Linked DNA regions of Coturnix japonica. The protein of the gene in region 1 binds, or shares a complex with, the protein of each later gene. Links are inferred from orthologs where the notes say so. Each region holds a gene or a part of one and is shown in the gene's direction. Other genes may lie near its edges.

Region 1 (7,360 bases):
ATTAGTTTCTGATGATCTTAAGGAAGAAGTTTTGAGACTCAGAAAGGCAAATGAAACTTTGCTTAGAGAAGTTCAGGTAAGACAAAAATGCTTTGAATTCCTATTAAAAACAAACAAATAAACAAAAAAAACACCTACAATTATAGAAGGTGCCTTAAAACTCACCAGCTACTTGACTCCTTTATGTGCAGAACCACGCTTTGACTATTGAAGAACTGAAAAAAAATGAGGAAAAACTGAAAAGCTCAAACCAGGATCTCTGCTGTCAGATGAGAAAGATGGTTCAAGAATTTGATGAGGATAAACAAGAAGCCATTGACAGGTTAAGTCCATTAACACTGTTTAGTTTCTCTTGTGAACTTTGATCCTGCATGTGATCATGAGGAGAGTCTGCTCTGGAAATCTAGCTTCTTTCTTAAACAAAAGCTGAACCCCATTTTGAAGAGGAAGAAATATAGGCAGTGTTTTCCTTTCTTGAAATCATAGGTGTGAAAGAACGTATCAGCAACACCATGAGGATACAAAAGCCCAGTTTGAGAAAGACATGATGCAGAGGTTTGCTGCAGAAAGACAGCAGCTTATTGAAGGTTATGAAGAGACAGTCTTGCAGCTGAAGTAAGCATTTTCAGTTTTTTTCATTGCTGTGAAATGTTTGTACTTCATGTCAGGCCCTTAGTGCTTTTAAAAATGCTCTTTCAAAGTGGTTAATATCCTGTGAGTTTAAAGATGGATTGCTGATGTCTGATTTGTACCTTAAAGGGCTACTATAGAGGAGCTGAACAGAGAGATGACCACAGTGAAGGAATGTTACATAGCAGTTTGTGGTGAGAAGGACACCTTGGAAACTACTTTAAGACAGTCGTTTGCACGTGAGCAGCAGATAAAAGAAGATAAGGTATTAATGCATCATATCATATTAGAGTGTTTTTAAGGTTAATGCACTCTTGTGTATTACAACTTTGTAATTGTTCAGGGCAGAGAGTTGATTTAAATTACAGTGTTGGTAACTCTTTCTGCAGCTACTCCTTTTCATGTAGTTGTCCTTCCCTAAAATGTTGGCTCCTAAAGATAGGTCATTCACTGGTAAAGGTTTGCTTTAACTGTTTTATTTTATTATTATTATTATTTTAATTACTGGTGTTTTTTGTTCTAGCTCAAGAAACAGCTTTTAGAAGAAAAAGAAGAGTCACTTAAAATTCTGAGAAGTGAGCTTGAGGAGAGATATAATAATTCTATGACTGAAGCAAAGAGGCAGTGGCAGAAAGAGAAAGAAGTGCAGATTGAGAAGGAAATTACAATTGTAAAAGCGTGCTGGGAAAAAGAAGAAAAAGAGGTGTGAAGCTGGGGATTTCAAGTTTTTGTTGATTTAACTGAATGAATTTATTTATTTTTTGGAAAAGGATTATATGTATATGTGGTAGTCTTATATATTGTTCTTCTGGCGTTTGAAGTGGTTGATGAGGGTCTGTTGTTTCAGACTCCTCTGAAGTCTGTAGGTTTTACAGCTGATTGTGATCTTTGGAAAATTAGGCTTTATAAAGTAATACTGCAGAATGTCATCACGGATGTAACATACTGAAGTTCTCTATCCTAATCAGAGGGTGAATAGTTTGGCTTTCTATTCTGTTGGGCTCTGTCCTACTATGGAAGTCCGTTTGCACATCTTTCCCCATGGAGGCTAGGTGGGAGAAGGAAGGAAAATAGACAACTCCTTCTATACCAAATGCATAGTGAAGGTGTAATTTGGAGGGTGCAGGAGGGGGGGTCAAGGGTGGGAATGTGGGGTCCAGCTAAGGGTTTAGGTTTTGATGCTCTTCAGCAATGCTTTGTTTGTTAAATACTATTGAAATTCTATTTCTAATTGAATGCTGCGGAAGAATGTCTTAAATCTATATAGATATATATTTTTTCCTAGAAGAGAGAAGACATCATTGCTAAGAGAGAAAGAGAATGGCAAAGTAGGCTGGAAGAAATTAAAAAAACTGTGTGTGAATGTAAGGACTGCGGCAGCCAAACAGATAGAGTAACGTGTGTGAGTGATGCTTCAACTGAAGAGTTAGCAAAGGTTGTTGAGGATCAGAAGCTGCAGATCCAGAAGGCTTTGAAGGAAAAAAAGGCCTCTGAAGAGGCCTTAAAAGAACTTGAAATAAAACTTGAAAGTAAATACCGTAAACGTCTTGCCAGCCAGGTAACAAATGATTATCCTGTTTGCCTGGATTTCATGTAACTCGTATGTGCTAATATGCTGAATGGGTCTAGTTACATGAACCACTGAGTCACCTTAACTTTTTTTTTTCCTTAGAAAATATGCTTTTCCTCTAATTTTCTTCAAGCTCAGTAGTTGATATTTCATATATTAGATATAAGAATTAGAATCATATAACTTTTTTCATAGCTCTGATTTTTTACTTAGCACTTGACCACAGCTGGTTGAGCTGTTCAGGACTTTTGAACATAACTGAGGAAAGTTACATTTTGTTTATATTGTTTTAATGGAAAGAAAATAGTTTAATCCTCATCATTTTGGAATCTTCTTTTGCATCTGGAAATCCATCAGATGCAGCTAGTCTGATTGTATTGCTTCCTTTAAACATAAGCAGTCCTAACTGAACTCTTGTTTTTAATCTGTTTATAGGTTGAGGCAGCTTTAACCCAAGCACGTGCCAGATCACTGCAGGAATTAACAGACCTCAAAGAGTACAAGGTAAATACAGAGACAGGACAAGAAAAGCAAACAAGGGAACAGAAAGAAACTGCAGCAGAGCTTGTAACAGAAAATAAGTGTCCTTCTGAATGGGATTTCCTGTCCTGTGTCCTGTGTCGAATGGGTGAATGAGTGTGTACAGGGAATCACTAAGGAATGATGTTTCTAATATAGTCTTACACTGATATTTTTTTTCTACTTTTGCATTAATGATGATGTTTTTATTAAAGGCTGTAGGAACTTATCAGTGAGCGGTAATGTTCTGTATATTTGATATAACGACTCTGTTTTACTTGTTAACCAGTTGGCTTTGGCTTTCTCTTCTGATGAAGAAAAAAGGAAGAATGAACGTGAGAATACAGAGAAGTCTGAATTGAGAATTAGAGATCTTGAGGAAAAGGTAGTTTCTCTCAAAAAAGAATTGGAGCTAAAAGAAGAAGAAATCCCTGTGACTATCAAAGCAGCAGTAGCAAAAGCCCGTGCTCAGTGGAACAAAGAAAAGCAAGAAGAAATTGCACAAATACAAGAGCAAAATGAGAGAGACTACCGATCATTCTTAGATGACCACAGAAACAAGATTAAAGAGGTACTTGCAACAACAAAGGAGGATCTTGCAAAGCAGGTGGATGATCTCTCTGCTCAGAAGGAGGCAGAAATGAAGATGTTACTAGACCAAAAGCAGCGAGAGTGGGAGGCTCAGGAAGCAAAGAGACTTCAGGATGAAATTAATCGGTATGAGGAGAAGACTGTGGTTGAGCTTGAGTGTTTGCTGAGAGAAGTCCATGAAGAGTTTGTTAATAGCACCTGTAGTCAACGTTCTTGGGAGGAGAGGTATTCTGATGCTCCTGTTGAATTAAATCATCAGTGCAAAGACAAACTGAAGGCACGTCTACAAAAGGCCTACAGAAGAACAGTTTATAAAATTCTGGCAAAGCATGAACAAGAGTGGAAAGAGGTAATGTTTCAGGGAATTATGAATAATGTGAGAAAACGGATGAATGATTCATACCTTTTTCCTTCTCACTATGTAATATTCGCTTGATCCAAAGAATTATAGAATCCATCAATTGCAGTCATTTGTAATGAGTCCTTTAGAACTGTCTGAGAGGGTGAGATCCATGGCCAGCAGTTTAAAGGATATGGCAAGGTACAGTTGTGAGACTCTGTGTCTGTAGTAGAAGACAACCAGGTTAGGAGTGAGATTTATTTTTTTTAATGCCCACATTGATTGGTTAAGGATGTACATCAATGGTCTTAAGTTAGGAGCATCTTAAAAACTCATAGTGGCTACTTAGGTATGTAGTCCTGTGATTCAGGAATTTCTTTCTGTGTGTCAGAGCAAACAGGCAAATAAATGGAGGTATTCCTCTGTCGTTCAGTGGAACCCAGAACTGTACAGTAGTGATTGGATATCACATTTCTATTGTTAACTCATCTTCAGGGATGCATGGCATACTTTTGGCTGGTCTTTTGACTTTCTGTGGAGGCAGTTAAAGCTAATTTTAAAATAATGCAAATTTAAGCGTGCATCTGATCTGATGCAGGATATTTGAAGCCCTGCCCATACTTTTTAGCTTCCTGGAATGATATCCATTGCTGTGCCTTCTGTAGACTTTTCAGTATTCTGTTCTGACTCAGCTGCTGTCTGTGAGTCAAACTCTGGGTGTTATCAGGTAGTGCTATTTCACAGGATTATGCTTAGTAACCATCCTCTATGCAAGAGTACTCATTTCCATTGCTGTTCAAGCTGCTTTCTTCAGTTCTAGTTCAAGACTAATACCGTTGGAATGCAAGAAACAGAGCCAATAGAGTTGTGTTGCTTGTTCATCTTCATCCTAGCTTTAATAAGTAGTATGCTGCAGAACATGGTGTTTGGCTCTTTGCTGGATTTTCAGACAGTGTTCTTTCAATTGCAGAAAACTGAAGAGCTACTGAATAATGCAAATAAAGAAGTGTGCCCCTGCATGCAGGGTGGCAGTGGAGAAACTGGGGACATGGCAAGATCTCCTTTGTCCAACCTTGGACAGCAAACAGAAACACAAAGAAGGCTGAGAAGGCATAAAAGTGGAACAGGTGGAGGTATGGAGTTTGTTTTCACTCTGTCAGAGCTGTATGTTATCTAACTAACCTTAATAGTAGCACTGAAGCTGCGAACATTTGAATGATAGAGGGAGATGCCGTTGTTCTGACGGTAAGGTTGTAGATGGGGGAACAGTTGCACCTGTGGTGATTGAAGGTTTGTATGCAAGCCAGTGCTGAGCCTGGTGAGCAGGGTGCAGACCAAATGGTGTCTTGGAGCAGGTAAGTATTAAAGCAGAGCTTTGAAGCCCCAAATCTCCTGCTTGCTGCAGCTGTCAGCCAATACAAGGAACCGTGCCTTTGCATCAAGGGCATTGTTATGTCAGGAATGATTCTTCAGCTGGCACAGTAGTTTTTCCAGTTCTTTTGTGGAGGAGTTCAGTTGCTGAGGAAATGTGAATCCCCTAGGCGATGCTTCTCTCCTCCTCCTCCCTGCTCCCATCTCCCTCCCAACCCTTGAAACGTGCTGATAGTTGTGCACTGTAGCTTTTCCCAAAGCAGTCCCATGCACCATAGCAAGAGTGGGGGCTGTGTAGCTCAGGAGGAACTTCATGGGAGGCACTGCAATGTCTCTGGGGCTTTCAGTTTAGTTTGAGTTGTTGTGCAACCAAAAAACATAAAGGGAGAAAGCCCAAGAGAGTCTTTGGCTTTGTGCCTATACCGCGGCTTGAATTTCTTCACCACCAAAATAACAAACCATCTATTAAATGCAAAACAATGCAGGCAGCGCAGCCCTTCTGCCTCTTGAGCTCCCTGTGCTGGCTATAGAAAGCAGCCGTTGCTCCCCTGGAAGTAGCCCAGTCTATGTAAATTTCTTAAGTTAACTCAATGCAGCCGCGTGTGAGTCTTCCCAGCTGGGTGAGTTTCCTTCAGCTGACTCCAGCAGGCCCTGTTTGGCTGTTGGCTTTAAACTGAATAAGTAAGGGGATAGATAAGTGGCAGTTCAACCTCCCAGTGTCGTATTGCTGCCTGTTTTGAGACCTCTGCATGTGACTGTTGATGGGAGCGTGCTGAGGCTGTGACTTGATTGGAGCTGCTGCAGGTTCTGTAAGTGGCATCCAGGCTCTTGTGATTACTTAAATTGGACTCATATACAGTATACTCCCTTAGCATAGGGTGGAAATAGCAAGGTTGGGTTTGATTCATTTGGGACCCTTGATTCATGAGTCACTTCTAGTGCTTGTTGTTTTAGATCAGCAAGGTGCAAAAAAGATCCTTTGGTCTCAGGAAGTTTTGTGTTGTGAACACTGTAGCCAGGAGCTGGAAAAGAAAGAGACTGTGTGCGAGGACTTGAAAAGAGAGTTGGAGACAGCTCGCAGGCGTCTTCATCTCTCAGTGAGGGAGCAGAGGGCAATGTCAGAGCAGGTCCAAGGTAAGGGTGGTGAATCAGAAAGGAAAGCTATGAATGTCTTGGCTGGACTGGCTGTGTTTATCTTCTTTCTTGCTTGATACAGTTTTCTGTGGATGTTATGGTATGTGCGCATGAGTACTTTAGCAAAATGAAATGGAAACCATTGTTTTCCTGGCTGTAAACTGGGTCTTTCCTTTGGGCCCCGCAAGTTTATGGTTTGCTCAGGCTAAGTCCTGTGGGTTCATTTACTTAAGCTTCTGCAAAATGTGCTGTTTGATTCCTTCCTGCTTGTCCCTGCCTTAGCTGATTGTTTACTGGTGTTACTTGTTGACATTAAGGTCTTCTACATTAAAGCAGTGATGTTTTATGTTGAGCTTTGCTTGAATGCTGGGAAGTACATTATTTTATGGTTCATTACTGGCTTTTCTAGAAAACGAGAAGCTTGTGGAATGTCTAATTGCAGAAAACACTGAGATGAAGGCTAAACTGAAAGACGTGGGCACATCACCGAGGTATTTCAAAAAACAGTGTAAACAAGGGCATGATTCTAAGATCTAGGCTGCTCTTATGCCATGTGACTTGTATGATTTTTCAGGTTGCTGTCCAAGGGAAGTGTCTCAAAAGCCTGTTCATCCTGTGGCTCTGTGAAAGGGCTGGAAGAAATGCGTGCTCAGTACATTAAATCTGTAAGCAAGATAAAAAGTAAGTACAGTGGGTGTGTGGCTGTGAGCAGGAGGTTGGCTGATAAATGTGGGCCCTCACTGCCTTGCTGCAGGTCTACTCAGCAGTCCTTTTGGTGGTGTTTCTCTCTCCCCTCTGTGTCAGAGCTGTCCCTAATGAAGGATGTTTCTGTAGGTGACATGCTGTGTTATATCCGTGAAAGTAAGGAGCGAGCTGCTGCGATGATTAAAGCAGAGGTTCTCAGAGAGCGCCAGGAGACGGCACGGAAAATGCGGAAGTACTACTTGACGTGTCTTCAACAGCTTCTTACTGACAATGGGAAACAGGAAGGGTAAGCTCCAGCATGAGTGGATATCTTTGGTTTTGAAAGAGTAATGTCAACTTGAGTATAACATTGTTTGTCCAATAGCACTGTTCATTCTATGTTGGCGCAAGTGTTACTCTGGCCTGATCTGATGAGACCGGTGTGGAGTTGCCGCTGAGCTTGCTGACAGAGGATTGCTGGGCTGTCTGACACCTTGTCCTCAGTATTCTTTGTCTTTTCT
Region 2 (7,967 bases), on another chromosome or scaffold:
AGCAAGCGACGCGCTCCCATGAGTGCGCTAACAGAAGGCAGCACATTTGTTGCTTATTAAACAGGTTGATTCTTGATGGGGCCACGAGGATACCAAGTGAAGTTTAGCGTTCATAAATGCTAATTCATCCTTTGTGGCTGTCATGTAACGCGCCGCTGAAAAGAAATCAGTCTGCTCTCAAGATTTCAGATGACGTTTTTCAGTGTCGATGGATGCTGCTTATATAAGAGGAATGTTTGCAAAGTGAAGAAGAGATCATACAAATGACTTCTGGCTTCATGTCTTCTTTAGTTCATGAAACCAAGACAGTTTGCTTTAAGAGAGACAATGCTAGTTAAAAACCCTACACAGTAACCTTATAACGCAGAGGGCAGATAGGTTTATGCTTCTGCAAAGCAGAGTAAGCATTATATTGAACAAAAAAATCAAAGCAATTGACTTCCTACCTGTTTTCACCCCATACAAAAGGCAGAGGAACGTGACACACAGCCTCAGCATATGGGCTCCCACATGGAACTTGTAGAGGTAGAAAATCTTACGGATCCCGCGGTTTCTTTGGCACGTATTCGCTGCCTCTGACAACAGTTTGCTGTCTTTTTCTTCCAGTAATGTAGGTGTGGTGAAAGGAGGAAGTTCCCAGCCAAGAAATAAAGATGGGGCTGAAGTTATACAACCAGCTCTTCTTTCTCAAAAGGTGGGGCACCTTCTCTTGTAGCAGGATCCCTTGTTTTAAAGATTGTTTGCCCAGGGCTGTGACTAATCAAAGGCAGGAACGGTTCAGTATCACGCTGTAAGCAGCACTTTGACTACCTGTGTTGAAATTACTGCCTGCCTGTTCGTCTTCTGCTAAGAGTGTCAAAAGGGAGTGAAGGACGTAGGTGTGCAAAGCCGATCGGTATCTGGGCAGGGCCAGCACTCAGCTTCCCAGGACCCACATTGGTAGCATTGGGACACTCCCATCCGTGTTCCTCTGGTTCTCCCACGCTCTGTCTGTCTCCAGCAGGTGGAAGCCCAGCATCCCTTTTAACCTGTGAGGTCCTTCATGATTTGGATGGGCACCACTTTGTCCTGACAACGTTCCCAGTTCAACTCAATACGTGCTGCCAAGGAGCTGCTGTTTTGGACAGCACTCACACATCTGACATATCCCCACCATGTTTTCTTATAGCCCTGCTGGAACCTTGTGAATTCAGCTCCAATTCAAGCGAGAAAGGCTTTTTTTCCCCCCTTGCTAGACAGTAAGAAGTGGGCAGATGCACAGACAACCATCAGGGCTGGGAAAGGAAGCCTGAAATTGGAGCTGGAAAATCCTGTGGCAAAATTGGTGTGATGGGGATGGAGCCTGTGATGGAGTGAGAGAGGGGAAGGGAAGAGAGAACAGAGACGGCTGCTGGGTACACAAAGCCACCACGCAGCTTCTAGTGTTTTCTTTGCAGGGAGAGGGAACATGGGGAGGATCAGAAATACCTCATTAAGCCCAAGCTCTGTTTTGCCCCCTGCTGAGATACAGCGAGGAGCTGAACTATTACAGTTCCCAGCAGCGTAGCTGTTTCTAAGGTCTATACTGTACATATGAAGCTTGGGTTAATCCTGAGCAGCCTGCTGGCTGCATGCAGCTCCTTCTTGTTCAGATGAGCTCACTGCTGGCTCAGAGCAGGCACTGCTGACTCCTCAGGCAGGGGCTGCCCCAGCCACTCAAACCAAGCATCCTCCTACTCAGCGCCCATGTCCTCACAGAACATCCAACGTGCTCAGCCAATAGGGATTTTGAGTAACCATCATTTGAGCACAAATCGCACCATTTAAACAACGTGTAAATATACAGTGGTCAGCACTGGCAGCGAACTCTAACACAAAACACAGTTATACCTCTTGGGACATAAACCTCCACGGTCACAAACATCCCATCCCCAGTTTTGACATATAAGAACAACTCCAGATGGTGAAAAAACACATTTTTTATCATGTGTAGAAAACACTTAAGAACAGAATTGGCACCAAGTAAAGAATAAGTTAACAGAGAATTTGTCGTGAAATGCCCCCGGATTCATCAGTTTCCTGTGGGAGGGACGTTTTCATGGAGATACTGCAGAGATAAATCCGTCCACTTCATTTCTTGCTCTTTCACAGACTCAGTTGTGCCTCCATTGTCTTGCTCTGGTTCAGGGAGCTCATTCTGAGAACGACAAGAAGAAAAAAGGTACAATGCATTCAGTGCATAACAAGCTGCCTAAAAAGGAGCTGGTGACGAAGACTTCCTATGAATAAATACAAAAAAATCCACAAATGAGACTGGAGGGGGCATCTGAACAATACATATCATACATCCAGATTCAGTTAAAATATTACTGAGCCCAGGGAGGAACAATGTGCTTTTCATATGATTATGATGCTTCATCTGAAAGGTAAATTGGCTTTCCAGGGCCCCGGGGCCTTGCTATGTACTCAGACTGCACACGCAGTGAAGGAGAATATAGAGAAAATGCAAAATAAGTAAATAATAACACGGTGCAATTATTCCATTGCTTGTTTAGATTGTGGTTCTTTGTTGCTGCCCAGAATACAGATACTGCATTTACCGTAGCTCTATTAAGACAGCTGGCTTTGTAACATATCGCTTTCTTATGGCAAGGTGAGAAATCCTTCCTCTTGCTGCATGTGGAGCTCTGCTGTGGCTGTGCTGTAACAACAGGAGATACAACACCAAGCTGCTCAGCATGCAGGGGGGAGGAAGGAGAGTTTAAATGCGATTTCATTTGACTTCCTCGTGTTATTTGCTCCCCGTGTTGCTGCATTGGTTATTATTGGTTTTGGAGGAGGGCAGCTGCTTCCTGCCTCCTCTGCTGAGAAGGAGCTGCTCTTCTTCCAAGAGTGATGCCACACTGTGCTGTAAGGGCTGAATGATGTCACTGCAATTTGGCAATGTCTCTTTGCAGGCATTATCAGATGCCGTGATTTTGGCCGGCTTACACCTGTGCGAACAGGGAAGGGGAGGATCCTCACCCAGAGGGTGGTGACGCACTGAACATGTTGCCCAAGGAGGCAGTGGATGCCTCATCCCTGCAGGCATTCAAGGCCGGGCTGGATGTGGCTCTGTGCTCCACCTACCAGCGGGATGGCCACGTCCTCGTACGGCAGCTTGTCCTCCCTCCACGCGTCATCGATCAGGTCCAGGATGCGGCCGTCCCGCTGCACCTCGCTGTCCATCCTCACCCTCCGAGGTAGCTCCGTACCAGCCCCGTCCCGCGGGGACTCGAGCGGCCCCAACGCGCTCGGTTCTGCCGGCAGCGCTCCGCCCCATCCCGCAGCGATGTTCCGGCGCCCGCTGTACCGTCATCACCCGCCGCCGCCTCCGTTCCTTCCCCTCCCCGGCCGGCAGCGCCCTGCGGGTGGGCTCGGTGCGGTCGGTGCGGTCCGCTCACTGTGCGGTACCTTCTTGTTCCGTACAACCAACCATTTCTCTGCCCCGTCACTTCGTGTCTCTGCCCTTCCTGCTGCCCCTCTATTTCCCCCACCTTTCCCCTCCCGCTGCCCGTGGATGCGGTGGCCGCTGCTTTGCGTGGTTTCCCCCCTGCTGACCCCGCCGGCGCTGGGTGATGGAGGCTCTGCTGGCAGGCATGCAGAGGAATGGCCAGGGGAGGTATGTATGTACGTATGTATGTATGCACCGCTGTGTGCCCGGCCTTTACAACAGCCTCACCGCGGGGCTTCCCTCTTAACGCTCCTTGCCACTCTTCTGCCAAGCTCCCATGGTGTCAATGAGACCCTCGGTACCTTCTGCAGGCGGATGGATGCAGCGCACAGCGACGTGGCTGCTTCGGCACTTTGCAGCGGTCCCTCAGCGCCTTGCAGTCTGTATTTTGCCTCTCTAAGAACGTTATCCCTTTGTTTTCCCCTTTAAAAAGCCCCCTCCTGCCTTGCAGTGCGGTGCTAAGTAGAAGAGTGAGTAAATCCTTTTCTTAAGAGCCCGGTGAGGTTAATGAGACATGCTGAGAGCACCTGATTACTTCCTGCTTGTGCTGGAGCTGCAGACACCCTGAGGAACCCTTAGGTGAAGGCTTGTGGGCTTGGAGATGGAATAACAAGGCTTCATTTATCAAACAAACACAAAACTAAAGGCACTGACACCATTTCCATTGCCGTCTTTGAGGAGGTGACTCAGTGCTGTATCTTTTGCAGTTAACTGGTTGTATAAATGCAGTCTAGACATAGCTGTGTATCAGCAGATGCTGAGCAGGAGGTGTTCTTGCTGTGCATAATAGCTGCTAATTTTTGGGTAACTCGCAGGCCGGGGTGAACATCCAATTTAACTGCTTTTGGCTGCTCTGAGAGCTACTTCTTTCCCTATAGAAGATCTGTCAGCTTGTGAAGGCTGGGTATGTATGCTCTGGGGGAGCAGGGAAATTTCAATCCCTTCACCTATTGATTTCCGTTCCTTTTCAGAGCCTTCCATTTGACAGTCAAATTAAATGGGTGAAGATGATCATGGAGTTCACAGCCCTCCAGGGCTGTATCTTGCAAGCCTTCATACCGTCCTTAGCTTAGCACTTGTGAAGTTTTACAGGGCTTGGTTGAATTGGCTTCAATAATTACTGCACAAATTAGAAGCTGCGGCATCGCCAGGGAGCGTGCTTTCCCCAATGGGTTGGGGATGTTTTATTCTTCATTATCATGTTGTCATCCAACCAACGTAGGGGTTTGTCTGCATTTGTGATATGCTTTTGTTTTCGGGAGCTGAGAGGTTTCTCTGGTGACTGAAAGGGGGTATAAAAGAGCATTAAGGGGAAATGCAAAGTATGGGCAGAATAAGTTGTGGTTTATTTAGGTAATGCGTAGTACCAAGATAAAGGGACCAGTGGTCATAGGGGCTTGCTGTGACATTAGAAAACAAAACACACTGCATGTGCTCTGACTGGGGTTTCCAAAGCATGCCCCATTAGTCACTGCCAAGTTTAGGTCTCTGCCCAGCGATGTTCCGCACCAATCACTGGTGTCACTGGTGTCACTACTGTGGGGATGTGGGACCTCTGTGCTCCTCTTTGTGACCTGAAGCTCTGTCCCTTCCAGCAGTGGGTTCCTGACATCCTGCGAAGCTGAGCTGCAGGAGCTGATGAAGCAGATCGACATCATGGTGGCTCACAAGAAGGCAGAATGGGAAGGACAGACCCAGGCTCTGGAAGCTTGTTTGGGTGTTCGAGAGCAGGAACTTTCCTCTGCCAGGGCTGCACTGGAGGAAAAGCATAAAGAGGTACGTAAAGGCTGAATGTGGATCTGCGTTTCTGTTTGTTTCATCAGATTTCAGTTGAGTTTTTTCTGCTGTTTCGTAGAATCACAGAATGGCCTGGGTTGCAAAGGCCCACGATGCTCATCCAGTTCCAACCCCTCTGCTATGAGCAGGGTCGCCAATCCTGTTTATTGGCCCACTGTGTTCTGGACCTGCAGTTAGGAAGGTGATTGTGGATGGGAAAAGGGAAAAGAGTCAGGGGAGAAAGGAAGAGGAATGGGAAGATCTGGATCAAGAGAAGGGAAACCTTTCCCAAGAGTTTCAAAGCACTGCTTCTTTCTTTGTCCATGTGTTATTTGACATCTCTGCTTCATCCCACTGGGGTAAGAGGATGGCACTGCCATCTCTTCCCTTAATAGATAGTTTGAAATCATAATGGATACTTATAATGAACATGAAAATGACATTGTCACAAGGCAAAAGTGTCAGCTTCATCTCAGCCAGCGGAAGGCAGACACAGCTTGAAAACACGAGGCCAAATCTGAGACTGTTCTCATCCCATCCAACCAGAGATGTGGACATAAGCTTAATTTGTTTCAAAAGGACTGACCCCAGCTTAGAAAACTGGGATCTCTTAACATTCCTTTGCCACTTCCACTACTGTGTATACTTATGAAATGAAGACTAATCCCTCTGTTTGCTGACAGTGTGCTCTGTCTCAGTTCATCTGCTTTGTAATTCTTGGTTCAGGTTGGCAAGTTGCGGCAGCAGCTGGAAGACACTGAAGCAGCCAAACAGGACTTGGTTAGGGAATATGAGCAGCAGCTGAAGAAGTTTCAAGAGGAGGTGAGTTTCAAAAGGAGAAGGTCGGTTTTTAATTCCCTGTTGATATGTGACCAGGTAGGTGAAATGTTTGGCATCATTGCCATTGCTTAAGTGCCATGGTTTTAAAGCTTCCCATTCTCTTCTCTTACAGAAGAGAGCACTGAGCTCAGAGTGATGTTTTTGTGCTTTGCTGGCCCTCTTTTGGGCACATCAGGGGAACGTGGTGACAAAGAAATCTGCAGGAATAAGAACATGTTCTAAGCTGCAATTTCCATGAGTTAAACATCTGCAGAGTTTTAGTGCAAAATCTTCCTGTATTTGCCAATCATAGTCACCACAGCCCTCATATGGAAGTTGCTATGGGTACAGGCAGCAGCAGTTTGCTCCTTCAGCACTTCCTTAAATTAAAATGGGTGGTGGTGGAACCGGCCTTGATTGTATGGAGAAACTGAGATCAGATCAGTACGCAGCCTCATCATCATTTTGCTTCCACTGAGTCTGATTTTATTTGACGGGACCTGTGTTCTCTCAAACCATATCAGTTTGCAAGAAGTGATTTCAGAGCTTCCATCTCGACAAGCTCCTTGTTCAATGCAGGGTGGTACACACACAGTGTCCTGCAGGTGGAACAGCAGCATTCCATGTTGGTGCCTTTGTTCTGCCTGTCTCCACTTGCTTGTCAGAAGCATTGAGTTAAGTGGCATGAGCAGCCAGCAGAGCACTGACCTTTTCTCCCCGGAGAGTTCAGCTTGGTTGATGCTCACTGTGAGCCATAACTTAAATTAATTTGGTAGCCTCAGCTTTGGTGACAGAAGGCATCTGTCCTCATTTACAACACCTTACTGCTCAGTGTGATTAGCAGGAGATGTTCCAGCTGAAATAGTGGATAGGCTGCAGAGCAAGGCTAAGGTGCTTTGGCCAGATCAGGCTATATTGCAATGGCTAGAATATAGTGTGTGTCTTGTGGTTAAAACTGCACTGCACTGGTGTTTTACCCATGTAGATGGCATTAAGCTGCAGTGTTCCTTAGTCTGTTTTAGTACTGTTTGGGTAGATAGATTTTATCTCAGTTTACCACCATCACCAGTAAAATTACAGGTACAGTGTCCACCTCATGGAGGTTGCTGAAAGGATAAACCAGTGCTTGGAATCTGCTGACTCATTTGGCAAAACACATTCTCAATGAATGTGCTTAAGCACCTTCCTGACTCAGGACCCTGGAGAACCTTTCCTGACCACTGTGTGGATCCGAATCATGGGGTCTTGATTCAGATATAAGTTCTCCATGGGTTCCCAAATCGGGAATGATGTCTTCTGAGGTTCATAGGGACCATTTGGAAACTTGTTTAAATGCTTGAGTTGGGGAGCTCATCAGATGGAGAAATCTGTGCAAGTTGCGAGTGGTGATTTGCACAGAGGGTCACTTAAATGTCAGCAGTTTTCTCCTCACTTTTGCTTCTGATAAGAGTTCAGCATTCAAGCAGTAGGCGTAGGAGTGTTATTTTCTGTTGGCATTTTCCAGTTATTGTGAAGTACGTCGTGTATCTGAGCAGAGGATGACAGATGAAGTAGTGTTGATGTTATGTATAATGGCAGTTCTCTAATCTTCCTCCTCCTGCCGAGCGGGAGAGTTCCACTCCTCACCTGAGCTTCACTTTAACCTCTAAGAATGTAGAACTGTCCCTGTGGTTGGCACCAGGAGATGGACCTCAGGTTCTTCTGCTGTTACAGAGTCCTGGGGCTGCCTGTAGAGAGAGGAGGTGCCATGTTAACAGCTACATATAGACCTCCATCTGATCGATATTTCAGTCATGCTCTCATTGTGATAAGACAGAGGTCTAATTGGAGCTGCTGATGTCACGACTTAAGCGTGGCATCCTGCTCCTCTTATACCACTCAGCGTATTTTGTGATCCTAT

Evidence for each region.
Region 2: the proteins of CEP152 (region 1) and CEP63 are in contact, whole or in part, in a crystal structure (PDB 6CSU), measured with the Homo sapiens proteins. The link is inferred for Coturnix japonica from reciprocal best matches to the Homo sapiens genes CEP152 and CEP63. Residues at the interface, in NP_001181927.1 of Homo sapiens: Gly1261, Ala1262, Glu1265, Leu1266, Gln1269, Tyr1270, Lys1272, Ala1273, Lys1276, Ile1277, Asp1280, Met1281, Tyr1284, Glu1287, Ser1288, Arg1291, Ala1292, Met1295, Ala1298, Arg1302; in NP_001340037.1 of Homo sapiens: Phe666, Glu669, Glu670, Arg673, Ile677, Arg680, Leu681, His684, Glu687, Leu688, Glu691, Ser692, Thr695, Phe699.

Annotation. Positions count from the first base shown.
Region 1 is NC_029525.1:9,161,980-9,169,339, reverse strand, and holds part of CEP152 (centrosomal protein of 152 kDa), read left to right. Parts: coding exon 1-76; intron 77-191; coding exon 192-322; intron 323-486; coding exon 487-615; intron 616-759; coding exon 760-895; intron 896-1,153; coding exon 1,154-1,333; intron 1,334-1,915; coding exon 1,916-2,188; intron 2,189-2,635; coding exon 2,636-2,704; intron 2,705-3,008; coding exon 3,009-3,659; intron 3,660-4,620; coding exon 4,621-4,783; intron 4,784-5,975; coding exon 5,976-6,155; intron 6,156-6,564; coding exon 6,565-6,646; intron 6,647-6,729; coding exon 6,730-6,836; intron 6,837-6,989; coding exon 6,990-7,146; intron 7,147-7,360. UniProt on the Homo sapiens protein: Necessary for centrosome duplication; the function also seems to involve CEP63, CDK5RAP2 and WDR62 through a stepwise assembled complex at the centrosome that recruits CDK2 required for centriole duplication.
Region 2 is NC_029524.1:2,641,552-2,649,518, forward strand, and holds the start of CEP63 (centrosomal protein of 63 kDa), read left to right. Parts: upstream 1-3,313; 5' UTR 3,314-3,596; coding exon 3,597-3,640; intron 3,641-5,067; coding exon 5,068-5,248; intron 5,249-5,974; coding exon 5,975-6,070; intron 6,071-7,967. Other genes in the region: LIPH (lipase member H), read right to left, coding at 447-498; ANAPC13 (anaphase-promoting complex subunit 13), read right to left, coding at 2,051-2,176, 3,109-3,207. UniProt on the Homo sapiens protein: Required for normal spindle assembly.